Struthio camelus: one gene and its partner. The main gene of each other region encodes a partner of the protein of the gene in region 2 in a complex. Links are inferred from orthologs where the notes say so. Each region holds a gene or a part of one and is shown on either strand. Other genes may lie near its edges. The genes, in order: PARVA and LIMS1.

Region 1 (15,759 bases), on a different chromosome or scaffold from region 2:
AACCAAGCATCCCATCCACGCCTGTTCACCACAATCTAAAGAGCTCAGCGGACACTGCTGCTTCAACCACGGCAGAGCCAGGAGCAGGGGGAGCAGCTGCTGCTGAAGAGATGAGGGCAGGGATGGACACAGCCTGACAGGCAGACAGTCTCCTTGCCCTTACCCCTGCCCCCAGCACTGTATCTCTTCCCAGCCCAGCAGCACCGGCCCAGTGCTCCCACCAGAGAGCGACCACTTTCCACAGTCATGCTCCTTGTCTCTGCTCCGGCTCTGCTCCCCTCTCCCCTTCACCTCCCCGGTAGCAGCCACTCTACTCCACGTGGCAAGGGCACAGAGATGAGAGCAGCAGCTGTTACTTCCTTTAACCTGTTCTATGCATATTTGATTTTATCCTGTATGAAACCTATAGGCTCAGAGGATTAAGAAACAGCTCAAATGGGAAACATATGGGGGGGTGGGGGGAAGGCACACTTTCATAGCAGCTAACTTGGCCACATAATCTAAGGCCAATTTTGCAAGCTAAATGCAAAGACAGAGCTCAATGGCTCTACATCTGCATGCATGTTTTCAGAGAACAGAATCAATGGTCGTATTAGGTCAGAACAGATGATCATCTAAGCCCACGGTCCCAGCCCTCTATCTAAGTCTTGGCCCCCGACAGTTGCCAGAAATGGATTCTTAGGGATACAAACAGAAAAAAGCAAATATACAGAATGCTTTCCCTTGGGATACCTTCCTAATATTCAGGGATTTCATGAACTGCAAGTTACATGTAGGCCACCATAGACGTTTTTTCTTTCATCTAGAATCCACCCAATCCCATTTCTAGCCTCCTCCCCTCCCCTTTTAAAATATTTCTGGTATCCAAAGCACCCTGTAGCAGTGAGTTTCACACCTTAATTATGTATTGAGTAAGAAAAGATTGTGACATTTCAGTTACTTCAAAAGCATCTGGATAGACCTAATGGCTGGGGTGCTCCTCTGGGAGGCAGAAGAGCCAGGCTTTATGTCTTCTTCCCACATATGCTTCTTACTGCGTGGCTGGGTCCTCCTGCCTCAAGCGAGACAACATCACGGCCTCCTTTGCCTCTTCACAAGCAAAAAGGAGGTTGGTAGCACCATGGCTTTTTTGCTCGTTTCAGTGCAGTCAGCATGTTTTACATATCCAATGTTTTACAGTGCTGTGGGATCTAACCCCTTCACAGACTTGCACGCACGCTAAGAGACATATGCATAAAATAGGCACTAAATGCTCAGTTCTGCCAAGAGAGTGATACCTCAGGATACAGACTGAATAACCTTCCCGGCAAACTGCAGGCATCTGGGACTCTCAAATTCCTACACATTTGCTCAGTTCAGGGTTTCTGTAGATGACACAAACGGACCAAGCCATCTACTCACTGCATGCTCTGTGGGTGTAGTTTTTAGATTAGGCCCTATGTAAATATTTGGTGAGAAAAATTCACATTTTTTTTAATTAGTAATTTTGGGATTGTCTGTGACTTCTGAGATTCAGAAATGCATTAACAGGCAGCACTTGCAAGTCTTTCCTGAACCAACCAGAGCCAAAACCTGTTAAGGAAAAAAAAGAAGAGAGAGAGAGACTCTTGAAACCAGGCACAAAGAGAAAATGCAAAGAAAAGATGCAACAAAACTCACAATGAGATCACAAAAACGAGTACTGGCAAAACTGAAAGGAACTGAAATGACAAACATCGTTAAAATGCAGATTATAGTAAGAAAAAAAAAAGTCCAGGAAAATATTTAAGAAATACGGATAAAGAACTCCAGGTTGTAAGTTATTTGAGGACAGGGCTCTTCCCACTGAGTGTGAATGTATATTGCCTAACATAATAGGACCTAGTCCTTGATTTAGCCACATATAAACATAATAACGCTTAACAGTGTCTTGCAGATAACAAACAACAGTGCTGAGTGGATGCTGCTTATTGCAGAGAGCAGTACTTGTGGAAAGAGGGAGCAGGAAGGCAAGATAGAGGCACCACAAGATCCAACATCTATCAAATGCAAAAGCTGTTACTGTCACCCACACAAACCTAATGCTGCAAGGCCCAACAGGTGACGAACAGCTTCAAGCATGTCTGAGTTGTTATTTAGGTATACCTCGGAGAGCGTGCATCTAGAGGGCTATTGCCATCACTGCATAAGCAATGGTTGGGTTTTCTGTCTACACTGCCAGAAGCATTTCAGAGGCAATTATCCATCTTTCTACTGAGCAATCCTTTCAATGGTCAGAACAGAAAGACCTCCCCAGATACCCCCCAACAATCTGGGTTCAAAGGAGGGAAACAAAACCGCAGTGCTCTTCTCTTTAGTACTTTCTTTTCCTTCCATACACTGTAGATGCGCTCAGAAAGGCTTGTAATAATTAAATGACAACAAACGACGCAGATGATTCTTCCCTCTACTATTTTTTTCACTTTCCATGTTCCTTCCACCTAACAGAAGTATTTTATCTACTTTACACAACTTGCTCCAAGGCAATAATTATTCCAAGGTGGTACTAATAGCTTTTGTCCACCATCAGTTAAACAGGCAGCTATGATGCCTGTGGCAGCACACCAAGAACATGGGAATATGTAACACAGTTTACAGGGGAAAGAAGAGTATAAGCACATTTCAGCTGCTACACATTAAGCCTGGAGATAAAGCACATTATGTCAGTCATCAAAAACAACCATTCAGCTATTCTAATAGCACAAGAAGGCCTAGGGTTGATGCACTGATATGCTGCAGTAAAAATGAAAATTCAGAACTACTGATTTATATAAGAGTGATGGCAAAACCTACCTCAACCCATTTCTTCTTCATAGAAAATGCTACATGCATCTTTGAAGCATTGCTATGAAATCTGCACACGCGGGCCCATTGATTTTCTTCATACTATATGTTATTACCAACATATTTGCTAATATGCATAGGTAAGACACAGCAGTTCTTCTTTCAACTTCATTTGCATTTTAAATACAGCATCAGGTAGCAATAGTAAAGAAAAAACCTGCAAAGCATTTAAGTTAGTCTAGGATCTCTCACATGAGAAACAAACAGATGATGAGCAAAAGATAAGTCCTACTGTTACAAAAAACAGCCCTTTGTATCTATAGTGCACTACTCTGCTTAAAGAGAAGTTGCAGAAACAGGTCCAAAGAAAATAATTCAAAAATCTCAAAATTCAGCAGAATGCTCCTTGTATACTAACAAATACATTTCTTTCACAGTACAATGCACATACATAAGCCAGATCAAGGTATGACTTCTCTTTCAGAGAGTCTCACAACAAGGCATTTTAGTCACTGATTCCTTAAAGACAAAAATTTTTATTTAAAATAGCTGAAGAGCTCTCATCACCCTACGCTTATTTTTAATTTGTAGTTGTTCCGATTTTTATATTATTGTTAGAAATGTGCTATGGTAGCAAATGGAGACTAAGAAATTGAAGGGAAATATCAAGAAATAGCAAATCTAAAATATTTTATGCTGTTAACATCGTAATTTTCCCTCAGGCACACACAGAAACACAGCCTACTGTGACCTCACATACTGAAATGAAATAAAACCAAAACATATGAAGGATAAAGAAGAAATATCATATAAGCGGAAGCTAGAAGAAAATTCATTCCTTCTCTTGCCCATCAACACCAAATAAGCTAGGAAGAAGAGCAGTCAAATTACTGAAATTGATGTCATATCAATCGGAAAACTGACCAAGCCCATACAATGGGCAGTAATTGCTCTCTACCCAATTCACAGGTCCAAGCTGTCTGTTTTCCATCTGCTCCTACGCAATTTAAGCAATTCTGAACTTCGCTCTCTGTTTCTGAATGTGTCACAGATTTATTAGAGCGTCAGGTTCCAATTCTTAAGATTCTCTACTAAGGTAAGCTATTATGAGGAGCTAAATTTGTATGTCTATAATTGCCAGGCCAGGAAAATTCAAGGAGGGCAATCACATATGACCTTAATGAACCCACCATGAAAAATTCATAAGATAATATAATATACAACCCCACCCCCAAAAAAGAGGTCATTCTGTTCTCTCCTTGCACTTGTATAAAGATATGCTTAGTACACAATACAAAGTACTATGAGGAGCTTATACTTTTTTTTTTTTTTTTTTAACTTGTGGTTGGCTTTGGCTAGTAAAATTAGCTTCACTATGGCTCTTACCTCCTGATAGACGAAGACTGGAATCCTTCAAAGGCATATATGGGGTGGCTTAATTTTTGAACACTTCTCAAGAATGAAAGGGACAGAATCTTACTATAAGCTAATTCTTGCTTATAGTTGCTTCACTTGTAAACAGGTCATCAAATATTCTAGTATTATCTCAGTATTTTTTGTTGCATTAAAAAGGTAATTATAGTAAATTTAAACATAGTTAATCATTTGTAGTTTTTGTTCCTTTAACAAAATGTATACACTATTTAAAGTTGCAGTTGTTCATGCCCTCTCAGGAAAGACTAAAGTATGATGCTCTTACCCTTGAATTACACCAATGAAGATGAGATACTGTAAATAAAATCCAGGCCACAGCCCTGTGTGACAGAAGATGACCCAAGCAGCTTTGCCTTCCTCACTCCCAGATTTTATATTTCATAAATATTCTCTAATAGTTAATGACAACTTATTTTGCAAATTAACATACATCCTAAGGCATGACTAATCCCTACTTACATCATGAGCGGTATCTCAACTAACAGAATCTCAAGTTATTCTCTTTGTTCTGTCCTGGTATAGAGTACAATAATTATCATATAATATATAATAGATATACAATAGATGATCAGCCTTTTCTCTGCTGTGGTAGGGTGTGTATTCTCTGCTCTGCCAACAACTCGTACTGCGTTATTAGAGAATTCACTTCACTTCTACATTGCTCGATATTCTCATCTATAACACGGGTGGAATAATCACCACTGCCAGGAACTGTGAAATTCGTAAGGAAGGACTTGCTATATGAAAATGAAAGGTATTACCAAAAATCCGTTTTATATTGCACTGTAAGCCACTTTTGCTACATGTAAAACTACACAGATTTTATAAATAGCTTGCATGACTGTACTATTATCACTTCAGATCCTAATGGCTTTGTATTTGGTAGAGCATTCTGGCACTGGCTCTATTATTGTGATGTATAAAAATATTGTTTTGACAGTTAACAATGTCTGTTGATGGCAAAAATACAAAACCTAATACATACAATTATATACTTCTACAACAGTTATCTAGATACATAAATAAATAGTATTAAAATGTAATTAGTATGTTCCCTACAACAGATAAAACATTTTTGCATTATTTAGAAACATTAACTTTTACACCATATGATAAAAGGCCAAAGAAAACCAGTAAGTTTCTGTCCTCTATGTAATAGCAGAGCTTATATCAACTAGAAGAAAGGAAATTTTCAGTTACCCCTTATTTCTCTCAAGAGCACAAGCCTCAATGACTTTCTTGAGCAACAGCTAATCTCTAAGACCCAGGTGTGCTTCTGAGCTTTTGTTTCCAGGTATGTAACCTGAACGTGGTCTGGCTTAATGCAGGACTGAAACAGAGTGGCTGCAACAGCCCCTTTGTTGTCCCTGAAGGCATGCAGGTTGGAAAAAAGCCATAGCACGCACCAGCCAGGCCCATAAACCCGTTGATCAGGAGATCAGGATGACAGAGGCATCCTCTGCATCGTCTACATTCATCTAGAAGAGGAATACTTGTTCCGTTGCCTATACATTAAAGATAATAATAAACTGCAATAAGCAGAATTTTTGACTCATGAAGAAATACTGACGCAGCTGAAATCTATTATGCAGATTTACTCTACTATAGCATACTAAAATCACAAAGCAAGACTAACAGAACAAGACTTGTTCTATTGCCTATGCATTAATAACAGCAATAAACTGGAATAAGCAGAGTTGTTGACTGATGAAGAAATACTGACATAGCTGAAACACAGTAGGTGAATTTACTCTACTAGCATACTAAAATCACAAAGCACAAGGCTAGGTAGATAAGAAGGAGAAATAAATAACCTACATAGCAAAAATACCATTATTTCTAAAAAGTTATTAACAATTTATAGTATTTAGGGACCTTAAATAACTAGAGATCAATGTTCACATTCAAAATGAGGTAGATATCCATAGCAGACTAACTAGGTTAGCGAACAGGTCGAGATGCTATGGAAAAAAAATGTGAAGAGAAAAGGTGCCATCCAAGAGTACCTCATTCTAAGTTACAAAAGCTGAAGGTCTAAATATGGCCAACAGAAAAAAAACATTTTTTCAAATCCCTATGAATAATCCCTTGAACTTTTTCTAATATTTTATATGTGTTAACAGTTGAACGATCATGTACACTCCTATAACTGAGACATTTCTCTGTTATAACCTTGACGTTAGAAAGGTCTTTAAAGCAGGAAAATCAAAGAACAGAGGCTAGACCCACAAGCAATCTGATCTCCTATATGAAGGCTGTAGTTTAATTTCAAATATGCCTGAGTCCTACAAACTCTGACAGTACAACATAAGATGGAAGCCATATGCATCACAGCCTGCAAGAAATAACGTGGCTCATGAATAGTGTGCAGACCCGTATTTATTTGTAGGAGAGATTAGGAGGCATGAAGAAGAAAGGGTTCACTGTAAAAACGTATTGGCTTTAAAAGTCATTACCATTTGAATCTGCTATTTAAAAATAAAATAAAATAAAATCATTCTCACTAGTATAAAGCCATACCAGTACATGTCAGTCTCACGTGCTTCCAATGAAAAAAAAAAAAAAAAGATAAGTAAATAAAAGATACATTCTTGAATGTATCATTAGAGTCTTCCAAGATCTTTCCAAGAAAGATGCTATGGAGAAATTAATGAAACATTTTGTCTCCATCATGAAATACTACAATATTCTCACAAAGTTTTAAAAAAAAAAAATCCAAACCACTGTGATTTTTTAAAAAGCTTTAGGAAATTGGGAAACACAAAGCACATCATCAATGTTGTTCCAAAATGTTAAAAGGGTAAATATTAACTTGATGAGACAATGAAATAGCAGGTGTAGATTTTAATAAATTTAATAGAGACACAGAAATAAAGACAAAAACTATGATTTCATGGAACACATTTTTTTAAATAAGATTACAAGATTGTGAATAAAAGTAACCGTGCTGTCTCTGACAGATACCTGTAGATTTATGACATAACACTGTGGCACTGATAAAAGTAGTATTGTCTGATAGCAACACTGGACATGCTAAATCTACTACAAATAGGTTAAGTTAAAAGTCTCAAAACATAACTACAATACAGACACATCACAGAAGATTGTTTCTAGTGCATTGCTACTAGAGTTCATCGATACTCTTACAGAAATGGCATAAGGAAGTGGATCCCTAGTAAAGTTTGCCACTATTCACTGTTTCATAAACTTCTGGGCCAACTGCAATGAACAGAAGCTTGAATAACATCAGCACAATTGCGTAACGTATTTTAATAGAAAAGCAAGACTATGCATCTCAGAAATACAGGTGATGGCTACAGCGAGGGGCTCACTCTTCAAAGTAAAGTGTTATCGTCCTTGTCCATGGCATTAGCACTATTCTGAAATACTTTGCCAAATTTCACTCTCCACATATATATCAGAAATCAGGGTCTGTTGAGCATAACTCTTTTTTTCTTGCTTAAGAATGACAAACATTAATTGAAAAACTGTTCTGAAGCGGACGCTATTCTAGCTCCGCTTGCATCATCAGTTGCAAAATGACGGGTGAGTGAGGTTAAATTCCAATTCTCTGTCTCATGGGATTTTAAATAGGCAGATTCAGTAGGGCCTGGATATTAATTCACATGTACGGACAAAGAAAGAGACCTTTGTACACGCTCAATCTTCTTCAAAGGATTACTATCACGAGGCAAAGGTTTTCAGCTCAGTCTAGGAACAACTGGGTTAAAATTTAAACCTTTAAGGAGTGAACATAATCACATCATTCTCTCAGAGCAATGCGTTGAGAGCATGCTGTACACCACTATAAGTCGATACACTGCAAACCAAAGCAGACATAAGCATCTTTAGCCTCACTTTTTTTTTCCTTCTTTTTAGCACTACAGCTTAAAAAAGTAGGTAATCTCAAGCAGGCACCGTGGGGTGCACACGCCGACGCAGCCCAGGGGACCTCTCCTCGCCCGGATGCAGCGAGGCGCAGGGCACCTCCGCCGGGGGTATCACACCGGCTTTTGAGGCGCTGCCTCTCTGTGGCGGCACCCGCCTTGCGCTCCCAGCACACATCCCGGCACCCAGACCCCTGCCCGGCTCACGCCCCGTCCTAGGGCGCACCCCCGGGCCCGGCGCCGCCCGCCCTGCCCGCAGGGCACCGCTCAGGCCGCCGCGCCGCACCCCGCGGCCCGCGCGCGGCGGTTGGCGGTGGCGGCGGTTGGCGGTGGCGGCGGTTGGCGGGCGGGGCGGCGGGGGGAGGGGCGGCGCGCGGCCGGGCCCGCTCGGGCCCCGCGTTTCCCCGCCGTGAGGCGCGGGCAGGGCGGCGGCGGCGGCGGCGGCCCGGGCCCCGCAGGGCGGCCGGGGAGAAGCCGGGGGCAAGGCGGCGCGCTCCTCCCTCGCTGCTCGCCTGCCCACCCGACACGTCCGTCCCAAGTCAGCCCCTTCCTCCCGCTCCCCAGAGCCTTTTCCTCTCCCCCCCCAGTCTCCTCCTCCTCCTCCTCCCACCCCCCATTTTAAGGTAACTCCCAGGAAGCGTGCAAACCTGTAAATTTTTTTTTTTACCTTCTTTGGCTTTTTTCCTCCTTGCCAGCGTGCCGCCAAGTTTGCCCAGGAAGGAGTCATCTTTCTTTCTAGACGGGGGCGATTTAGGGGTGGGGGATTTAGGAGACGACGGGGACTTCTGAGGGGAGGTTGCCATGGCGGTCCCAGCACCGCCGCCGCTCAGGGATGAAGGGAGACAGGTTTGGAGCCCAGGCGGAGCGAGAGGCTGGCCCCTGCTCTAAACGGAAGCGGAATTATTTCAGGCATTTGAGGCAGCTCCTGCTCCGCTCTCCCGCTCTCCCTCTCCTTCCCTCCCTCCCTCCCGCCCGCCCGCCCGCCCGCCCGCCGGGGAGGGCCGCGCTGCCCTCGCCCGGCCCGCGCCCGTTCCCTCCGTGCCCCCCCACAGCCCAACGCCCCCCCCAGTCCCCCGACAGCCCTGTGGTCCCCCTTCCCCCCACCTCAGCCCAACGGTCTCCCAGGCCAGCGGCTCCCGCCCCCCCCCCCCCAGGCCCCGCAGCCCGCCCTCACCCCAGCCTGCTCCGCTCGGGGCTTTCAGCCCGGGCGGCGGTTCCTCGTTGCGGCTGACGGGGGGTCCCGGCTGCCTCAAGGCGCTGGAAGAAGGGTTTTTCTGTCAGGGGGAAGCGACACCCTCCTCACCCGCCCTCCTGCCGCACGCTGAAACATCGCCTCGTTCAGGCGAGGTGGTCACCCCCGCCCCCGCCGCGGCCTTGGCTGGCCCCCACCAGCTCGGCGGCCCGCGGTTTGTCCTCCGACTAATCGAGCAGTGAAGTGCCACTGAAGAGCTTTGGGCAGGTCCCCGCGCGGGTTGCCACGTACACTCCAGCCTTGAGCCAATTTTGGGAAGCGGGCTGTCTTTCTGCCCCTGTACCTCTGTCGTTGGAGGTGGGCATCGCGTTCCCCCTTTCTGCCAAAAAAGACCTTTATTAAAAAGAATGTGAAAGAAAGGTTAGTGAGCATGATAAATTATTGCCTGTGCCAATCCTCTGTTGATTTGCAGGTGAGCTGCTTAAGAGAAAAGTATGTTTAAAACAGGTAATTGGCTGTGACTGGTTCAGGAGACATCTAGGGCTGGAACAGCATTAATGTCATCTGGATGTACTACTTCACTCCCCTCTTAATCACTCGATTAACAATTTAGGCAAAAAGCCACACACACTTTATGCAAATATCTAGCTATCCATTAGACATAATAAGAGAAATGAAATTACCATGAGGATATTTCTAAATCAGCTAATAATTGTTGTTTTTACAAGCCAGTAACAATGGTTATCTGATGAGGGATAGACACCAATGAGTATTTGTTGTATGCAGTTAGTATATGCCCTAGAGAATAATTTCATTCACCCCTACCACCATTACTTAAAACCAGGAATCAACACAAGCCGTTAAGAGACTCTCACGTTTCCTTAGGTTTGCTCTCTCTGGCTTCTAGCACTGATTGCGCGTTTGGATTTTGTCTGCAGAATCTCCCCACCTTCACACATTACTCTGTTTTGTTAAGAATTGCTGTTCATGCGCTGTATAGATTAGGATACAAACAATTCTGAACAATTTTTTTAAAAACAATGAAATATAATTTTAAAAGAAAGCAAAATAATCATGTAGAGTCCTTTCTATATACACACATGTGAATCTGCAGCATTTATAAACAGCAATGACACAACTTTGGACCCAAATACTACACACAGACGTCCATGTAGGATTTTGTGGGCACAGCAGAGTAGGATTTTGTGGGCACACAAATCTGCTTGCCTTTGTGCCACTAAGTTTGGTATTAAAGGCAAAAAGAACAAATCAGATATTTCAGACAGTAATGTGCGCTGGGTTATACAGCATGGGAAAATCAGAACTCAGCATGCATTTGCCAAGTCACACACCAAATAACTTACAAGTCCTAGTATCTCTACTCAGTTTTGTTCCATACTTTTTTATACCTAGCATATGTAAATTAGATATCAAATGTAATATTCCTTATTTAATAGCCTCATGAGCTATAGGTAAGGATTTAACATCACAAGCAGAAAATATATTTTAAAGGAAACTCAATGTGCATTTAAAATAACTTAATCTGATTTGGGAACAGAAATACTGTAATGCCTTGAGTAATAATGCTAAGGGGTCACTGCAACAGACTTAAGTTTGTTGTGTTCTTTAGGGGCTTCTTTCTGAATTTATTTGCAGTTCTCTTAGGTATAACATTATTGCAGGGTTTTTCCAACTTATGATGATGCTCTCTGAAGATAGTTACAACACTCCTTCTCCCCGCCTTGTATCTTAAATTTCCAACTACATATGCTACTTTTTTCTTTTGATCTGGAAATATATATGCACATATGAGCTTAAATTAATATTGCATTCAGCACAAAACGCCATATAAGTACACACAAGGTCTAAATTATGGCAGATGTACAAATGTTGCTTTTGAATGCCTAGTTCCTATTTCTATAATATTTTAACCACAAATAAAAGCTGTAGTAATATAGATTCGGTGGAGATTTTTGTTTGTCTAGGTTTTTGCTCTGTTTTACATTTAATAAGTGAATACTTTCATGATCATGCTCCATGATCCCATGCACCAGACACAATAGTCAGTAGGTTGCCATTCAGGCTCACCTCACTGCATCCAGCATATAGAAATCTGGAGCAGGCGATCAAGAGCTCTCACCGTGCTTCCTGTCAGCGCCTTGTTCCTACAGATGATCCAACCAGTAGTTCAAATTAATTGTATCCTGATCACATACATACTTTTGCCAGGCAATAAAAGGAGGCTAAATCCACAGACTTCAAATGCATTCTTACTCACCTTCATATCTGTCCATGCACACCTGTTTTCTATTTCTTTTACTACAGAACTCAGAGTGATCACAGATAGAATATTACTTCCTGCATGAGGTGGAAGAGACAGAATACATAATATACCAGCCATGGTCTAGGCTAATAAAAATGAGCACTGCAGCAGCTGAAAGTATACTCATAATCTGAGATAGCTGACTCAGGGGAGAGAGGTCAGCCCTGATGTCATATCTGGTTTTCAAAGTATTTCTTCTGTTATTACACAAGTTTAAGCCAAGCTAGTTAAGGCCATGCAATAAATTATCGATTCTTCTTGATCTGGAGTTCGACATTTTTCTCTTAAGTACACTTCTGCTCTAGCCTTTTGACTCTGTGGTCTTTTAAACAATAACAGTGGAATTTTCAAAAATACTCTATTGCTCTACTGCTATTGCAGTATTTGCCTACAGTAAGACTCTTCACTGACTTCATAAAGAACAGAATTAGACCAAAGTCTACTCTTTATATTTTTCTAAATGTTTGCAGTCAACCATCTTCTCATGTGCCAATTCTATGTAGTGAACTGCTGAACATTCACATCCCTACTCCCCAGGCTGTGTGTTAACAGCACAGTAAAGGATGGTTCTTAGAGAAGACGACATTGACATTTCCTCACAGGCTACTTTGTGGCTGTTTAGTGTCTATTTTTTGATTGGGATTCAAAGAGAGGCTGTTAAAATTTAGGACACTGGTAAATAAGAGCTTTGGTAAGCTTCTCCTTTCTTCCACATATCTCAGCCAGAAGCTCAACAATAACAAGCAATTGAGGCAAGTATGAAGGCTCCTTCCTTTGGCTCCTCCCAAAAACTCTCTTTTACAGTGCTGGCAACTCACATTCTCCCAGTGCAATGCCATAAACTTTCCTCTGCTTTCTTGTGCCTGTCAGATACAGGAGCACCAGCCACCCCTGTCCTCCCAGGGAGCAGTTGTCTGTGTTTCACAGGGTGGCTGAGCAATATTACCTCTCACCTGCATCCCACTGAAAGACAACACCACGGCGTCTCTGGGATGGCTTTTCCTGAGAGCACCCAAAAATCTCTGGAGGGAACAGCTCTCACAGGACCTGGCTGTATCCATGAACCAGACATGCTAGGTGCCTGTTCCCCTCCAGGGAACTAACGCCTTGCAGCCTGTCCTGGTGGCACCCCTGGAAGTTGAGAGGCAAGAACTTCAGGCTTGTACTTCAAGAAAGTGGTTTTGTATTTCACCATGAAGCCCCCTTCCCTTCCCCCCCCCCCCACTCCTCTTCACATGGCTGCGTGCGGTGGCCACCTCTGGTACTGTGCTGGGAGAGGCGGTGCTGGGAGTGGACCACAGCACAACATATTGCCTGGCTGGTAGTCTGCGCAGCCACATCTCCTGTCCCATACCAACTCAAGGCAGGTTATGTAGCCCATAGGACCTTGTTGCATATGATTTCAGCCCCTAAAAGGCCAGCCCAGGGTTGACTAATCATCCCAGTGGGGGCTACGTTATAACGGCAGAAAGCACTGCTATCAGGTAGCAGGACTCCAAATTTTCACAGCCACCACCATCTCAAACTCACACTTGAAGATAAGTTTGTTTCCAGCTCACAAAGTGAGTCTTAGATTGAACCTATGCTTATGCTTAAATTTAAAATTGAGCTATGCTTTCTAATTAACCTGTATCTTCTTTGGGTTAAGAATCTTCTATTAAAAAAAATAAATAGGATAATGAATAATAAATATATTATTCATTAATATAGAGTTTCATAGAAGTATTGGAATATCTCCAACTAGATCCTTCAAACGTACAATATATTTCTATATTGCACATTAAGGACCCCAAAAGGTCAAACATAGACTTAGTAAAGAACACTGTAGGTGCAAGACAAAAGACAGCATAGTGTATACACAGATCACACATAGAGATCAATTATTTGGAAAGTTTCAATGGAAGGAAATTGGTTTTGAAATTTTTCAATGAGATAAGAACATTATCCTGGCACTTAATGCTTCTGGTAATATGTAATTCTGCCAATCAGTTGTTTATACGTACTAGGCCAGGTTTACATGAATTTACCTCTGGACTTGTTGAGACAGTTTCAGAAAAATTAGGCTCATGATTTTTTATTAATAAGCTTTTGTATTCACAAGAAATGCCCTTCTCTTGTCTGTAGCTTTGTACATCTGTACTATGTGACTATACCAGCAAACACCTAGCTGGCACATGAAATCTCTTGCCATAGTTCATTAGAATCAGCAGAAGAAACCATGCGGAAAAAAGACAAGTTGTTCATAAATACTAGACAAACAGATTTAGGTGAAATCCAGTGAATACATTACTCATCACAAGGTATTTGTCAGGTTCCAGGTTTTGGAGATACCATGACTGCCATGAAGACTGTAGGGATAGTATTCACATACTAACATGGTAAACCCATCATGCCATACTATGCAAATAACTGTGTGGTCCCTCCAAAATTCAGCAGACAGCTTTAGATCTTAACAGTAGCAAGGTCTTAAAAGACAGACAGAATCTCCAATCTGCTAAGCCACATCCTGTTACATACTTAAGCAGGAAAAAAACCAGAGTATATCTTTTTGGAAGGAAACTGCTAAACTAAAATCAAATTCAGTTGAAATCAGATATGCTCCCTGCATTAGGTTTGAAAATAGTGGTTGCAAGACATAAGTCTGTTACGTTTGTTGCCTGTGCCCAGAGAAATCTAGCCAAATACCCTTAAAATCAATGAGGCATTCTCTTACCTTGGGGACAAATCAACTGATCTCAAGGCATGTGATGGCTTACAAAGTCTTTTTCTTCAACATCTTGCCCAACTGCCTTTCTCTAGAGCCATAATCTTTTGGAGGGGGTCAGAGAGAGTGAATAATAGGGGAGCCTCAGTAAATTCCAATAGGCAGATTTCTACCCCTATTGTGCTCCTGGGCCGGCCAAGCTCCCCGGCTGCCAACCAGCTGGCTGAGCAGTCAGCAGGGCTGCAAAGTTTTATACGCGTACGCGTTTAAAAGTTTGACTTATTACTTCCAATTGCCATGCAGGTGGGTGATTCCTCTGCAGTCTTGAGGATTTATGAGTAGATTATCAGCAGAACCACTACCATGCCCACCTGGTAAGAAGGACAAGGACATGACAGTAGAAGACAAAGCTCAGCTCAGATGTGACAGAAATTACCTGGACCTTTGAAGAGCAGCTGCCATCCACCTGTCATCTGAAGAGGAGGGAAGCATCGATCAATTTGGAATTGCTGCTAAGGGGACAATGGCGCAGGGGCTAACGTAAGCCCAAATCTTGCTTATCTCTTCTGAGGCAGTAACGTTGTCTTCCTCTGCGAGTCTGTCCCACTGGTAGAAAACAACAGATTAAGAGATAGCCTAATAGAAGTAAAGTTGGTGGAATATGAAAATCAGCAATTAAGGTTTTGCTCACCAATTCTTGATCTGCGCAGTGGCCTTTTTCCTTCAGCTCAAGGAGTTGTCAGTTTGTATGTAATGTCTAAGGAAATTAGGTGATGAATTACCATGTCAGAAATTAAAGGAAGTTGTTGATCTCATGGGGTTTGCATTTTCTTGTTAAAGGTCAAGTTGAACACTGTCTAGCAGCAGAGTGCCATTATTTCTAAGATATGAAGTGCCAGGTAAGATAGTGCAATTTACTTACCAGTATATGATTAGGAAAATGATATAATTTCTTACCTATAGGTCTTTCCTAGACATGCATTATTCCTCTGTAGATACTGGAGGTAAGAAATTATTACAGAAATGACTCAGGGACTTTAGAGAGTGAGATACAATTTTATTTCTTCAAATATAAAACTGCTCACATCTAGTCAGGTTAGATACAGCCAATATGTTGTAGCACATCATATTATACTTGTGATAACAGTGCCAAGGATTTAAAAATAGTGACAAAGATTTAAAAATCAACAAATTCCTTATAAGTAAGTGAGTCAATTTACAGAAAAGATTGAACAGCAAGAACACTCATAACCAAACATATTTGTTTAAATGCATTTCTAACGTAAGCCAGCCATATTAAATTGAGCTGTGAACAGTGTACATAGCTTCTCTTTCTTTTTCCCCTCCTCGCCTACTCTCATAATGTACAAAGATCTACTTTAAATTACCTAGAGCTTATTCTTCTCCTAAGTCACCT
Region 2 (15,431 bases):
TATAATTTTGGGTTCCCCTTCTTTTCGTTTTCCTTTCCTGTGGTTTCTGAGCTGTTCTAGCCAATTCAAAGCTAACCGGCACGATGAGCTCTAGAGAGCTGTGAGCCTTTTCCATGGTGCTCTCCAGACACGGGAATGACCAGACCGTGTCCGATTCCAGTCCATCTTGCAAAGTATGTTGCCTCTGACAGTGGCCAAAAGCTGATCCCTATGCAGGGAGGACATAAGAGAAGAGCAAGCCTTTTGTGGGATGTCCCCTGAGAAGTAATCCAGCTTCCAGCCACCTGTGGCTCAGGGACTTCCTACATAGTTTGTGACCATCAGTGTTTTTCTCTTCTGTTAACTCATCTGGTCTCACCTTGTTTCCAGCACTCTTAGGGCGTTTCCCAAACATGCGCGATGCTCTGAACGTTTGTGTTATTATCTGATGCCATGTGCACATGGTTGTGAGTTTTCCTTTCTTCGCTTGTTTTGTCACAGGAATTTCAGATCAGTTGTTCAGTTTTCCTCTCTGTATCTGCCAACTTTGTAGAAATTTCTGACTCTAAGTAGTTCTTGGTAACTTTCTAAAACGATGGTTTCATATGTAACGCTCCATGAGCAGTGTTTTTGGGTGCACTGCTTAGGTTTTCTAGACAATTGTAAGTCTTCCTATGAGCCTTCCTGTGATACATGTCTTAATATGTCAACAAGACAAAGCTTGCTGTTTTTTGACTGAAGCAGAGCCTTTTTTTCCAACAAGGGTGCACCGTTGAGAGATTTGTTGCATGGCTTCTGTGACGTAACACACTACGCAGAAGCTATTTGTTCTGCTTTTTCTCTCTGCCTAATGGCTGTGATAGAGCTAAAAGAAAATGAGCTAAAAATGGATTCGTCTCATAAAAGTCAAATGCAAGTAATCTATTGGCAAACACAGCTAGAAGAGCTGGCAGCGTTTATCAACCGTGCATTTATAAATAGAAGATTGAAAAGATTCAAACTGTTTCGGCAAGGAATGAATGGATGAAGGTGAAGTAGATGTGAAACTTTCTGTCTTTTCCAGCAGGTTAAGCCAATGCATGTCACGCTCTTCACAGACTGTAATATTTTTGATCCCAAGTTCAGTATACCTTTTGAACTCTTGTGTTGCTATGCAGGTATTGAAAAAATGTGATCCACTCACAGTTATGACTCAAAACTGCCCTGCTAGTCTGTTTCTTGTTCCGGTCCAGAAAATTTACATTTTTAGCTGTTTGTCTCCCTTGATGTTAGGCTTTTCATTTGTTGTTTTGTATGATTCTCCTTACTGACTTCAAAGACCAAAGAATACACTATATTTGGGGTACAAAGAAACCTGCTCCTTTTTTTTTTTCTTCTTTTTAAATGGTACATGCTAGCTCTGCAACTTTGGGATAGCTCCATGAGCACCATGTTGTGGATAATGAATTTTGCCTGAAGTGTACAAGCAATTGCTTAGTTTTAAATGCATTCCTTTCTTAAGCTAATGCTCAAATTATACCCACTTACTCAGTGTGACATAAGAAGGGGGAAGGAGGTTTGGCAGGGCTGGAAGCCCTTTGATCCAAGGCAAAAAATCCCATCTTCTCTCCCTTTTCCCTTCACTTTCCTTCCACCAAACAAATAACCCAGGCTCTATTCCCTACTCTGCTCCTTCAGGTAATCCTGCCAAGATTTTATTGCAAGTGGTAAATTTTACATCCTTCCTCCCAAGTCTGCCTGTAGTATCACAAGTATTTTTTTACGTTCATTCACTCCTGCTGTACTCAGCATTGGCCAACTGTTTGCGTGAAAACTGTGACTTTAGAAATTCCTGCAATACTTACCAAGCCTTCAAGACTTGCCAAGCATTTTCCAAACTGCTTTTCAGTAGCCGTTACTGAAATTCATTTGTGCATACCTGAAATGTCTACTACTACTATTGAGTAACTAATGAGTATAAAGTGTAAGGTGATGGTCTTCGGGTTGTGTTAACCTGAAAAAGGTCAAGATCGTTGTAATGGAGTATGCAAGTAATGCTATTTTGTATTAGCTTCATTTCTCGGTATATTACTCATGCTTGACTCTTAGCAACGTAAATCACTTCAGGTTATTTTCTTCCAACTGTTGAATATTAGTATTATTATTTAGTTCCATTATGTTAATTACAGAAAGCTTAACTGTCTTCCATTCTGTGCTATTTTTAAAGCTTGATAATATTACAGTGAATGTTTGAAGAAAAAAGGTGAAACCAGAAACCAAAATGACTTAACGGTTGCAATTTAAGTTGTGTATGAGAGAGAAGAGCACTAAAAAAGAAACGGCTCGAAAGATGTTTGCTTTATACTGCGTTCTGCCTTCCCAAAACCAATTGTTTAATTCAGATGATGAAAAACTTTAGCAGCACTCCACAATCAGAAGCATGAGAACAGAAAAATGAACCTAATGAACGTGAAAAATGTTTAGAGAGATGATGATGTGGAAAGTATAGTATTAATGGTCATATCTGCATGGAACTGACATGCTACTTAGAGAAGAAAGAAACCCTGTCCCGCAGCACCTTAGCGGAAGGTCAGTCCTTAGCCTGGTATCTCCAGTGGAGTCGTTACTATAATGGGAATGTCATTTAGAGCCAGAAAGTCTGGTGTTCACGGTTATCTCAGCCCTATAAGGAACTTCATGGACATACTAGAAGTCTTTCATGGTAGACTGGATGTTATGTTTAGTCAAGGCATTAATTATAGCTCCTGGATGAACTGTTCAGGTCACAGTGTTGAGCTTATAAAAACATCAGTCATAGCTAGTGTAGGCAGATGGTAAAGGCAGAAGTAAAGGTTAACATTTGCCTTTGCACTAAGGATTCAGTAAAGTATTTCTGGTGAATTTTAATGACAGATGATGATATATATTTAATACTGGTGCTATGAAACTGTTATTCTGAAGAGAAATATGGAAGCACAGCGTTTTCCTAGGATTTGAAATGTCAGAAAATACAAAGATCAGCCTCATACTTTCTTTAATGTATTTGAACTTTAAATTTGTTCCTTCAGTGGTGGATGAGGAGTTCACATGTAGTTAGGTGTAATACTGCATTGACTGAGATGTGGTTTCTCCTGAACCTGAGAAAAAACTTCTTCACTTTGAGGGTGACTGAGCATTGGAACAGGTTGCCCAGAGAGGTAGTGGAGTCTCCTTCCCTGGAGATATTCAAAACCCTCTGGATGTGATCCTGGGCAATATGCTCTAGGTGACCCTGCTTGAGCAGGGAGGTTGGACTAGATGATCTCCAGAGGTCCCTTCCAACCTAAACGATTCTGTGATTCTGTGATTCTTTACCCCCTCTAACACAGTTGCTTGAGATTGCCTGATCACGCTCTGTTGTCCTTCACTTGACTTTCCAGTGTTTTACTTCCACCAATAGCAATATTATTCTTCCGAAACACTTTCAGATTTTTGAACTGGTTGGACTTGGTGTTGTGAAGTTCTTTGTGTATATGTCCAAACAGAAAGATGCTTTTGAGTTTGGTGCACCTGATATGGTCTCACCTGTTCTTGAAAGGATTTTTTTTTTTTTAGGGCGAGTTTCTTAGATATATTAAACGTGTAGTCCTTAGTGTATAGTATCTGACCTTCTTACTATTCTTAAACTAGGAGTGGTGATATAAATGCTCCTATATGAAATGCGTTTGTGTATATGCATTTTTAAAGTCTTTAAAGTTTGTTGAGTTGGAATAATTTGGATGCAGCGTATTTGCCATAATGAAGTATACATACAGTCAGCCACACAGGATGCAGTTTTAAGAATAACTGAAAGCATGCTGTGTCTCATGCAACCCAGATTTATTAGCGCACTTGTGCGCTGTTGATATCTGATGCTGTATCTTTTCTCTTTTTCTTTATTTCTATCTGTATAGGATTCAAGAAAAGAATAGTGTGTGGAGTGGGATGGGGGGAAGAGATGGCGATTAAGAAGGATCAAATAGCTGTACACAGAAAAAAGAAAATCATTTCTCATTTTACACACAATATGGCTTTGCTAATGTTTGTAACCAGCAGGAAGAAAATGAAACGCTTTTTTTGAAATATTTCTTACAACAGAAAAAGTACTGTAGTTCAAATGTTATTCTCCCTTTCTACAAATTCTGTTAGAGACTGACTTTCACTGTGCTTCTATGACAGATAGAGTTGTGTGGGAAGGTGCTGCTTACCTGTTTATTCCAGTTATATTCGTTTCCTTATGAAGAGATGGAATGTGAACCTTCTCTGTTTGCGGAGACCAAAGCATTTTTTGGACATGTTTATACTAGAATAAGTTTATACTGAAGTATATGAAACAGCTAGAGTTGTCTTTTGTTAGCCCTGTTTAAACTCCCACTACATGAGCTTAATCATGCTTTTTGTGGCCAAGAGTAAAGGATGAAAGTTTCATGGGCGCTCAGAATTCACATAGTTTTTATCATGTTTTCGAGATGATTTTGCATCCTTTTGAATAGGATGCATCCCTTCTAATAGTTAGAGCAGGACTGTGCACATGTGCCAATCCTAGCATTAATGTGCATTTTTATTCGTGGAAAAGATTTATACCTTGCTTTCAATTACCTTAAGAGATCAATTTAACATAGGAAATACGTTGTTGCTTGCAGGACCAACAGTTGCAGCAATGAAAACCCAAGAGTGTTTTTAATTTTAGTAAAAAGACACAAAAGATCAGTTAGCACTTTAAAAGGTTCATGCAGAAATCATTGCAGGCACTGCAAAGCCATGTATACTTTACGGGCAAACTTTTATTCTAGTTCTTCTCTATTCTGCACGTGAAAGACATTGCACAGCATCGACTGTGAAATCATCCCTTACATATGTGGGATGAGGAGGGATGCCTTGTGATTTTTTTTTTTTTTCATTCCCCTCTGCCTAACGTGATGGTGCATGTGGCCTCCTGAAACCTCTAGTGACGCAGCAAGCTTGTACTCCAGCAGGCAATGTTATTTCGCAGTCATACGAGTAGGTTGCCAAGCAGCAGCTGTGATTGCCAAGCACCTTGTTTGGAGCCGTGGCTGCTCCGCACGTCTATTTGTGGAAGGAGGCGCAATGTGCGGCGGGGCGTGCTGGCCACCCAGCCTTCTCTGTAAGAGTCCCCTTCAGTGCCTCGCGACGACCAAAACGGGATTGAAAAGCTCTCCAGGGAAAGCAGTGCGTGAGCTGGAGGGCGGTTGTACATCAGAGATGATAGAGCTGCGTAGTGGTTTTTTACAGCCCTTCTCCATTGCAGCAGTTGTGTGCTTCCCCTTGGCTCCTCTTCTGTATCTTTTATCGCCTTCCCAGCTCTCTGCCTTGACTCCTGATAACATCCGCAGTGTGCCAGTAGTGTCTCTGCCTTCTTCCTTCCTCCTTACCTTTTTCAGTTATTATTTAACTTCTCCCTTTTCTTTTCTCCTTATCACCGACTATTTCCTTAACAGCTGGCTTGCAGATTTTGTCCCAGATCCCAGGGAATACCCTTGGGAAGCCGCTGCTGCAAATCAGTGAACGCCTGCATACTTCTCGCTCCTTGTGGACTTCACCTCACAGTAATCTAGAATTCCCTAATGAAAATATATTTTTGACAGCCAATTTTAGATCTCAGCAGCAAGTCTCCAGCAAAGTGACAAAAAAGAGAAAGATGACCATTTGCTCTGGATTCTTGGATTACCAAACCTTCACACTGGAAACTGTTTTGCTTTCGTAGCAGAAAAGCCCCTTTTAAACTCCGCGCAAGCTCCTTTCTTGCTTAACCTAATGTGAATTGGGAATAATTCCACGGAGAGCAGCGGCAGTAGGCGTTCAGAACAAGGCCTACTTATTACTTCATACGGTTGCTTCTTAATAAAAGCTAGGAAGATTAAAATAGGCTTTGTGGATGGACTTCTTGCTGCAATGACTGACTCCTTGTACTGCTTGCTTTGCTGCAGCTGCACAGGAGATTGCACAGCAGCCAGCTGAAGAAGCAAGCACCGGGGTGGATTTTTTTCCTATTGACCAGCAGAAGATGCAAGGAAGCAGAAGTGGCTTCTAGCCACCTTTGTAGCCTATAGGTTTCAGGTTACCGCAAGGGCTGCAGTAGTCCACAGAGAGTCAGAAATGCCTAAGGGCTCTGGTTTGTAGCAGCAGCTTCTCAGGAGAATTTCCTGCAATTTGGGACAAAATATACAAGAAAACAACTGAGGAGATGGTCAGTGATAAGGGGAATGGAGACAGACTGGCTTGCTGTTTCTTACCTTAGTGGCTTAGTGCACCTGTGCTAATTCTGGATGAATCGACATTGTTCGTCCATTGCAGCGAGTCTCCCTGGAGTTTTTCATACTCACAAGGGCTCAGTATTTACCTGTGCAGGAAATGTTGGGATCCAGCATGGAGAAAGAGAGTGGAGTCACTTTGTCGACATGTCCACTAGCAAACAGTGCTTGTTTTCATCACGAGTGAGGCAGGAGATGCAGAAACCTTTTCTTCCACCACTGTTTCCTGCAGCTGTGCCCAGGCAATATCACCATGGCCTAGAGCTATAGCCTGAGCTTTGCTTGATCTGAAACTTGCTCCAAGACAGATAAAAATAGGGCTTGGGCTCCAGCCAAGCTGTGTAACGGGTGAGGGTGCCGCCTCCTTAGCCTGTTGCAACGTGTGACTCTCAGTAGCTGTACCATGCCTTGGGTCACCAGACCTACAGAGAGATATAAAAGCGAGGGCACGCTGCCTAAGTCCCAGCTGCCATGATGTGGACAACATGCGGGGGGTGGGGACGGCTTGCCCAGAGGAGACTTCCTGCCGAGGGCAGTTTAAGGAAAGACGCCTGAGCAAAGCCCTCGCAGCCGTTTAGCCCGTTTGTTTGTGCTGTGCAGCAGCAGAGTTGTAGGGCTGTGCTGAGCAGCTTGCAGGAAGCTGCTAGAGCTAGGTGTGAGCTCAGGGCCTGTGCTGAGAGCGGCATGTGCTCCCCCTTAATCTTCTGGGCCAACTGTGCCAGTTAATGAGGTGAGATTTGGTGGAAAATGGTCGCAAAAGAGACCCTCTGCAATAGGCACTAGGATGATCATTTTCCAGATGCTGAAGGCATATTAAAAAATAGTAGCCTTGAGTGGAATTTCTACCATGTCCTCTGTTGAGTCCCATTTCTGATTTCTCTGCTTGTTCCCGCTAGTCTTTTTCTTCCTGTCCTCCTCCGCTTTCTCATGCTCCCTCGCAGACTAGCAAATTCTTCGGATACCAGGAAGCCTTGTGTCATGAACACAAAGCCCATGTGGTTTTGCTATTTAATCGATTGCTGACAAGGTTGAGTGAGTTCAGCGCAAGAGCCCCGTTGCTCAGCGCTGCCTCCCAAAGTCCTTTCGCGTTTGAAGTTTTAAGTTCTCAGGAGCCGGCTATCCCACGCCTGTCACAAGCGTTTCGCTTTAAGCAGGTAGAGCTTAGAAGAGCGAAATGAATGGCCGCAGCTCTGAAGGCTGTCGTGCCTGCCTTAGTAAGCAGCACGCGACAGATGTTTAGGTGGAGCGTAACCCGCAAGTAATTGCAGCGTGAAGATCGTTGTGAGGGCGTTCAGCGGCGCAGGCCGTGGTTAAACTTCCTTTCTTTCTTCTTCCTTTCTGGCCTTGCTCTCTCGCTTCCCTCATGTCCATGAAAAATTACTTCAGCTTTCAGCTCATGTCGGGGGCGAGCGTTCTCGACGTGATGCGCTCACTCAAAATCAAGTTGCAGTTTCCCTGCTTCACGTGTCGCCCCGTTAGAGGTTGGTTACCTGGCTCTTCTGTTAAGGGGCCCTGTTAAGCCAAACGGAAACAAACTATGTATCTGTATGCACGTCCTTCTTTCCCCAGCGCTGACAGGAAGAAAGATGCCTGGAGAGAGATAAACCCCCCACGTTTGACCTAAGACGATATAGGTGGAACAGAAAAGGTTGTTTTTACAATGTAATTGATATACCGGAGTATTAAAACAATGTTGACCTCATGACAGAAGTATTTTCTTCATGCTTTACGTTGCCGGCTTGCCCACAAGAAAACATGGTTGGAGTCCACCTCCATCCCCCCCCCCTCGCCCCCGGCTCAGCAGAAAATACCTGCGGACAAGTTTGCCGGTGACCGCGTTCGCTCCCGTAGGTTACTCGTCACACGGCAACCCTGCGCCGGCATGGGCCGCTCCTGGCAGCAGCGGACAGCGGAGCCGCTTCGCAGCGGCCGAGTTGCTGTCACAGCCCGCAACTGGAGCGCCTTCCCCAGCCTGCCCCCAAATCGCAGCCCGACCGTCCCGCCGCCGCGTCGGCTCGGCTCTTAACTTGAAGCTCTAGGCGAGCGCCGGAGGGGTCTGGCTGACTGACACGAAGCTGCGACAGTAAATCACCGCGCGGCGAACGAGGCGGGGGGGGGGGGGGGGGGGGAGGTCCAGCGCGTCGTTTTGCCGACTTCTGCCTATACCGCGAATATCTCACTCTTGGAAAGCGATTAAAGCGGCATGGATTTCCAAAGCAGAGCTCGGCCTTATGTGATCCCGGAGGATGGAGAGGTCCCGCGCGAGGCGGCTCCCGCTGCCCCCAACGCCACGGGAAACGAAGGCGAGAAAGCAGTGTCAAAATTGCAGCGTAGGCACAGTGACATAAAAGTTTACAAAGAGTTTTGTGACTTTTATGCAAGATTGTAAGTTAATTTTGTTCAGCTTCGGCGTTCGACTTCAGTAAAATTATTTGTGTATTGTACGTGTGTGTGTGTGTGTGGTTTTTGTTTTTTGTTTGTTATTATTACTTGAGCTCTGGGTAGACAGTGTAAGTCACTCTCTAAGGCAACCTTTGCCACTGTTCCCTGTTTGAGACGTTGCCGGTTGTAATCATCAACTAAAATTTGAGCCGTTGCTGTAGACTTAATCATTACTTGCGTCAGAAATTTTTATTAGTAGCTGGTACCGCTTTGGCATTTGTAGAGTAGTCTCTCTGACTTCTGATTTGAGATCGTTTGCTGCTTATTATGGGGAAATGTGTAAACTGGACCACTAATAACAGAAGTGTTGCGTAGATTGGTGTTTTTACACATGTGTTTCGAATTAAAGTGAACCAGTATTTTTGCATTTTTAGAAGGAAAGCTTTGTGCTCTCATGTAATTATTTTCCAAGTGTCTACGTTTCATAGTTTTGCTTGGATCACACGTTGTGTCTGACAGCACTTAACATTAAATAATTTTTTAAGTTGAACATCCTTAGTATTCCAGAGCTGTCGAGGTGATAATGAAAGATCCCAAGTTACGTTGCGATCGCTGTTCGTTCAGATTGAAGGATAAGGATGGGTGAAGTGACTGAGCTTTTGCCCCCCTCGTGAACCGCACACTGTCCTTGGAGGGCATTGGCTAGCTGCAAGGTGAACCACTGCTTAAACACAGAATTGCTGCAGCTTTTCAGCATGTTTGTGGGTTGTCACGTATGGCGTAGAGCGTTCTCCAGTCTGCTCTCCTCTGTGAGATTCGCCCACTCGCTTCACTAAGAGGGTGGTAAATATTTTGGTATCGGTTACTGCTGCCACCTTCTGCAAAGGGCTCTAGAGAGGAAAAAGAAAGCAGTGAATAATAACGGGTCAAATGTGACCTTGCGTGCAGCCCTTCTGTTATACAATGTAAGAAACAGATAAAGCACGTTTGTTTTGAACCATGTGATCGGTGCGCGTTTGCTAACTCTGGTGCTGTATAAGGAATTGATTCAATTGCTTTTGGATCCAGTGCGAGCCAGCAGGTTTTAGCCCCTTGGAGGGAAGGGCTTGACATCCTGCAGAGGACCGAGTCCTCTGCGTTTACGGGTGCACCGTGATTTTTTCCTCTCTGTACCAAAATGTGCCCACAATAGACGTATGCACATGCATACCTTTTGGTAACGAATGTGTGCGTGTGCGTATCTGCGTTTAAAATAACCCTAATTCTTTGATAAGCTTCCAGATAGATGTTTGAATTGTTGGTTTTGTCAGTTGTGGTTGGATTGTATGAACCTAGACCATTGCCCTGTATTTGCTCTCTGCTGTCAAATGTTATTGGCGCAGAGAGGTGATCCTGAAAGGCATAGCTTGGAAAGGCTAGATGGAAGCGAGAAAATACTGGCAGAGTTAAAATCAAATAAACGTTTTCCTGGTACTAGATTCTTAATTAACTGTAACCCAGTTACTCCTGACAAAGTAGCTAATCCCTCCGGTATTTTACAGATACCCCCTTGGCATTTTATAGCCACACGCCTTTGAGAAGCAGCTAGGGTGGCTATTGAGTATTTTTTGCATCTCCAGCGTGGGGTCCCGTGGCAGTTTGCGCTGGCCTAAGTCTGGGTTGCAGTGGCCCAGCCTGCTACTGCAGCCCGAGAGTCCCACCCTCTCTCCCTTGGCCCCGCGCTGAGGCCGGCACAGAGCGAGCTGATGTAGGGAGCTGATCTCGTTAAGATTAACCTTAACAAACAAACCAAGACCCCCGTGACTTTAAACTACGTTTGTAAAATGACTTTAAGCTGTGTGAAACCAATGTAAGGAATAATGGTTTGCTTTCTCTGGTTTTCAGTAATTTCTGCTAGACTAAATACCTTATATGCTTTCACATTGCTATTTTAAAGCTTTTGAACCAATGGTGTTACGTATGTTTTAGGACTGTCTTATCATTCATGTTTTCCAATGTGAACATTATTCTAATGTGTTAATTACTGCTAACGTTGGCCCTTGTTTTCCATGATTCTCATGTATTTAGTTTTTCATTTTTATAGTACTTGGTTGAATCACCTGCTTTTTCCCCTCATTAAACGCCTATGAATGTATCTGTAATGATGTTTCTGTTTGTTTTTTAAATTAGCAGTTGTTAGACTGTGTTGTGGGTTTTTTATTTCTAAAGAGTTATGGGCAGGGGGGAAACGACCGTTTTATTTCTGAGGGAATGCCACAAGCCATTAAGTGCATGAACAAGCTTTCGTTGAGCAGCTTAGCATTAGGCTGAAACAGTTGGCTTTGGAAAAAAGAGATGAACTAAAATCAGTGGGGTTGCGTGTTTTGGCTCATTTTCTTCTTGTTTCTTTTTTATGACAGCAACATGGCAAATGCTCTTGCAAATGCCATCTGTGAGCGCTGCAGAGGCGGCTTTGCACCTGCAGAGAAAATTGTCAACAGCAACGGTGAACTGTACCACGAGCAGTGCTTTGTGTGTGCCCAGTGCTTTCAGCAGTTTCCCGAAGGGCTCTTCTACGAGGTAAGCCAGGCAGAAGGTTGTTCTTGCCCCAATTCTCTGGCTTGTTTTTTCATTCTTGTACAAGAAGTAAATACAGACGGATCAATAGTTTGGAAAGTGCTGTGGCAGAAATTGTGCTCTGAAAGAATGTGCCCAGTAGACGGTGAAAAAAGTAGAAATACTTTTGTGCAAACTTGGAGGTTGTCACTGTGTATATCTTACTTCAGTGTGCAGCGTAATGTTGTCAGAGTTGCGAAAAAGCTGCTGGAGATTTCTCTCTCAGTCCTGAATTTTTTCCTTGGAATCTGTAAAGAAAATCTATATATTTTATGAGACGTAGGTAGAGAACGTTCTTTTTATAGCAGAACTGAGACAGAGTGAAATCCCAACCTCCCGTAGTCCGTAGGAGGCTTATTGCTCAGCTCTGTGGGGCCAGCGCTGCAGTTGAAATGTTGGTCCGTAAGTCAGCATGCTGAGGGAAAGGTGTGCAGTCACCCAAACCCAAATGAGGCATAAGTCAGGTCAATTCTAGACAGAGCAGAGCAAACTGGGACGTTCTGAATTAGCAGTTCTCAAATGCTTTCAAAAGCAAAAACCACTCCCACTCGCTTTCTCTGCCCCAGATGGATTGCCCTCAGCTCAGAGGTGAATTTTAATATTAATGTAGTTTTCTTTTCCCTTCGCCTGTGATGAGTATTTAGCTATTTCAAGTACAAAGCGGCTTTAGTAAAAGCTTGAGACTAGCTCATAAAGTATGAAGCAATTGCTATAAGGGAGGGTAGAGCTGGTGAGATAGAGAATTGTTAGCTGAAGTTTTCAGATGGGGAGCAAAGGCTCAGAAAGATTAAAGTATAATATAATAAGTATCAAATTTCTTTAGGCATTTCTGAAAACCCTGTTCTAATCCACTGTCTGTGATCACACCGGAAGCCTGGAGCAGCTCTAAGAGTAGTTCCAATCCAATAATTTTGCAAAAAGGTGTTCTTAGCTTACTTTGACGTGTAATGCAGAGTCGGGATAGACTCTTATGCCAGATTCTTAGTTCATGCCTAGTTTATATGTAATCCATTTATTCAGTGCTTCAAATGTACGTAGCACTTCACAAAGCAGGTAGAAATAAGGTCCTGCTCAGATAGTTTGTAGTACAACATACAATAGCGGTTGCAGGATTTATGTCATATTATGATCTGCAAAGGAAGGTTGGCCGTTTGTTAAAAGCATAAAACTGTGCTCTCACATACAAGGTGTTATTGCTGTGTCAAGAGCACAGCAGATTATTTTCACAGTAATATTTTAAATCAATTGTACAGAGCCATGCCATGTGGTGATGAGGAGGCAGCCGAGGGAGGAGTGGCTGGTTGGGAAAGAGACTGGCACGGGGGATTCCAGGGGTTTGCTTCCTCTCACCTTGTTTGAAGATCAAAAGATTTGTCAGTGCTTTAGGGGTAGTGTTGCACAATTTGTGGTAAATGAGCCACTAGTGGTCCCTAAGACATCAAAAGGTGAGCTGCAAAGCAGTAGCAATTAAAAAACAAAACACAACACCTCCAAGATGCTTGCACATTATCTTGCAATTGTTAATATGAGTTGCTGCCTACACGCAGGCATGATAAAGAGTCAGTCCTGACATGTTAAGACCTGAGGCAGGTATAGAGGGACACACATGCTTTAAAACTAAAACATTTTTGTGCTAGTAACGTTTCTTTAAAACAACAGAATGTTTCTCTAAATGATGAGTAATTTATTTTTCCTTTTCCTGAGTGTGAAAAAACAATGGCACAATCAGGCCATCCATGGACCTCTTTCAGAAAGTTGGATGGTCCTTGGAGATGGAAGTTTGAGAAATACTGTTCTAGAAAGCCTGTACCTCCTAGAGGATGGAGAAGGGCTATAGTGGAAAGAAAGTGTGTTTGCACCTAGTCCAGGAATATTCAGCCTGTCCGTTGCTCATGTGTGGCCCTAGGTGAATCTCCCTCAGCAGGGGCAAACATCCCGGTGGTGTTTGGGTGCACTGCACAGAGGCGTTTTGCTTCCTACTGCTACAGTGCTAACATCCTTATTCGTTGTGGTTGGGTTTTAAGCATTCTTTTACTGCAAAGTGATGCTTCCTGTTAAAGACAATAAGTCAGAAGTGAGTGCTGATAGATTGTCCTGGGAATAAAAACAGCCCCAGGTACTTAAACACGTTTTGGTAAAGTTCTGCATTTTTTTCAGACTGTGCAGAGGCTTGCAATGGCTTTGTTCTTCAGAAATGTTACACGATAACTGGAAAATTTAAGTTAGGAATAGACGCTTTTTGCCACAGCTATTACAGAAATAAAATAATTATGATTAGGATTAAGGAAACATCCAAAGAGTTATATGTGAACTGCGGGCAATCCTTCTGCCTCTAGCCCTTACTTATAATGTCCACCATGAGAATTTGCAGTTCCTCTCCACACCAGCAAGTCTGTCTGTTGCTGGAGAGAGACTTTTCAAAAGCATGTCGAAACGTCTGACAGCCTTCAGATTAAGGTGAATAAATCTTACTTAGACTTCCTCTCCTGTCTGTACTTGCCAGTTCTGGGCATCTTCTAGACAGAGGAGAGGTGAGTATCTGTGTTGTCCCAGCCCTCATGCCTTTTTGGCTGTTTCAGCTTGGAAATCTTTGGCGGGTTCTTCTACTCTGTCTGCAGCCAGGCCCTTTAGGGTGAGCTAGTCCAAGTGCATCCACGTGTGTCCTGTGCCGCCAGAACAGCGCTCACTTGGCAGTGAAGCGGTCAGTGAAATGATGGTGGTGGAGACTCCTGGAACGCTTCCTGGTTGTGCTGCTCAGGAAGAAGCAGGGGCAAGGGCACAGCCTGCTCTTCCTTCATGTGAGTGGGTGGTTTAGCACTGACTTGGCACCTCAGCACGAGGGTTGGGAACGTCCTGAGTAAAAGTATTTGGGGGAGAGGGAGGAACAACTCTAAGCAGGCAGAGGATGAGCTCAGGTTGGCTGATGCTCAGGAGATGGCTGACAGTGCTTGGAGGACTGAAGGTGATCTGTATCACTGTGAGGAAGACAGGCAAAAAGGGTATCTTCCTTAAACTGGTTTAATATACCCCTTAAGAAGATGCATTTGGAGGTGTGGCCAGTTAATGTGTTTTTCTGAGCAGGTTCCCCTTGGGTAAATGGAAGCGTTGCTGATAGCCCTGCATTAATTTGTTTATTCTGTGTCTGGTTGAGCTAAGCCAGTATTCCCTGGAAAGGATCTTCAGCTATTAGCAGCTGGGAAGTCAGGTATTCTTCCCCCACCTATCTCAAGCGTTGCAGCCTTCCCCAGTTAGTCATTAAGCTGCTTATCACGTTCACACTCAAATGCTGCAGTGGTAAGCTTTCGGGCTCTGCTCCCCTGGCAAGGGGGTGTACTGGTAGGGTTATCCATGTCGCTGGATGTGTCACCGGGTTGTGTGTGGGCCCAGATCAGCGTAGCTTGCTGCGGTCCGGTGTCAGAGCTGAGCCCTTCGCAGGTACCAGGGCAGCCCTCCTCTGTGGCTGGGAGATAGCACTGACCTCAATAGCAACGATTCTGGAAAGGGAAGGACTTTCAGTGTATTTTTTTGAAGTTTTTTCCTTTTGAAGGTGGCTACAACTCCTGGAAAACTTGCATCATATCCAGGCTCCCTAGGATTTTTGCTGATGTCCTCCTCAGCATAAATTAGAAATGATAGTGTAGCTAGTTTTCCAGCCAGTGTTGGCCTTGTGGTTTAAGGGAGTGAGTGAGAGCTTTGCACCTCACGTTGCACAGGAGCCGCAGGGGTGGGACCTGCTAGGTTGCACCTGTATTCTGTTCTGTTCAGTATCATCAGCTTAGCATGTCTTCTTCTGCACTTAACCTAAACAGCAATTAGCTCAAACTCATACCAGCAAAGTGTAACAATGTGCAGTCCTGTACTAATAACGCCAGAACAGCCTGCTTCCGTGGGGAGCTTCGGGGCCACCATGTCCAGGGGGCCAATGAAATATAACCCTGAATGCTGATGTAAATTAGCTTGATGGAAGTCAGTACAGTTAAGAAAATAGCAGTGCACAATTAGCGATGCCTCTTGCATCAAGTCATCACTCTCACGTTTGTCTTGCTATTGCGTACAGCCGGAAACATAAGAGAGAATTGTTTAGGAAGAGACCTCTGGGGGATCCTGCAGTACTGAAATCTCTTTCAGCCCGAGCTGAACCCTGAGCTGTCAGGTAGAGGGGGAGTCTAAGACTGGCCCAAGGTGTAATTAGTCAGTGGGCAATTC

The links.
Region 1: LIMS1 (region 2) and PARVA share a complex: the UniProt entries of both Homo sapiens proteins name them as parts of the heterotrimeric IPP (ILK-PINCH-PARVIN) complex. The link is inferred for Struthio camelus from reciprocal best matches to the Homo sapiens genes LIMS1 and PARVA.

The regions. Positions count from the first base shown.
Region 1 is NC_090946.1:25,104,587-25,120,345, reverse strand, and holds the start of PARVA (alpha-parvin), read right to left. Parts: upstream 9,763-15,759; 5' UTR 9,748-9,762; coding exon 9,607-9,747; intron 9,551-9,606; exon of another isoform or gene 9,381-9,550; coding exon 9,298-9,380; intron 9,269-9,297; exon of another isoform or gene 9,228-9,268; intron 9,008-9,227; exon of another isoform or gene 9,003-9,007; coding exon 8,791-9,002; intron 1-8,790. UniProt on the Homo sapiens protein: Plays a role in sarcomere organization and in smooth muscle cell contraction. Required for normal development of the embryonic cardiovascular system, and for normal septation of the heart outflow tract.
Region 2 is NC_090942.1:155,374,855-155,390,285, forward strand, and holds the start of LIMS1 (LIM and senescent cell antigen-like-containing domain protein 1), read left to right. Parts: upstream 1-8,364; 5' UTR 8,365-8,451; coding exon 8,452-8,633; intron 8,634-11,029; coding exon 11,030-11,189; intron 11,190-15,431. UniProt on the Homo sapiens protein: Within the IPP (ILK-PINCH-PARVIN) complex, binds to F-actin, promoting F-actin bundling, a process required to generate force for actin cytoskeleton reorganization and subsequent dynamic cell adhesion events such as cell spreading and migration.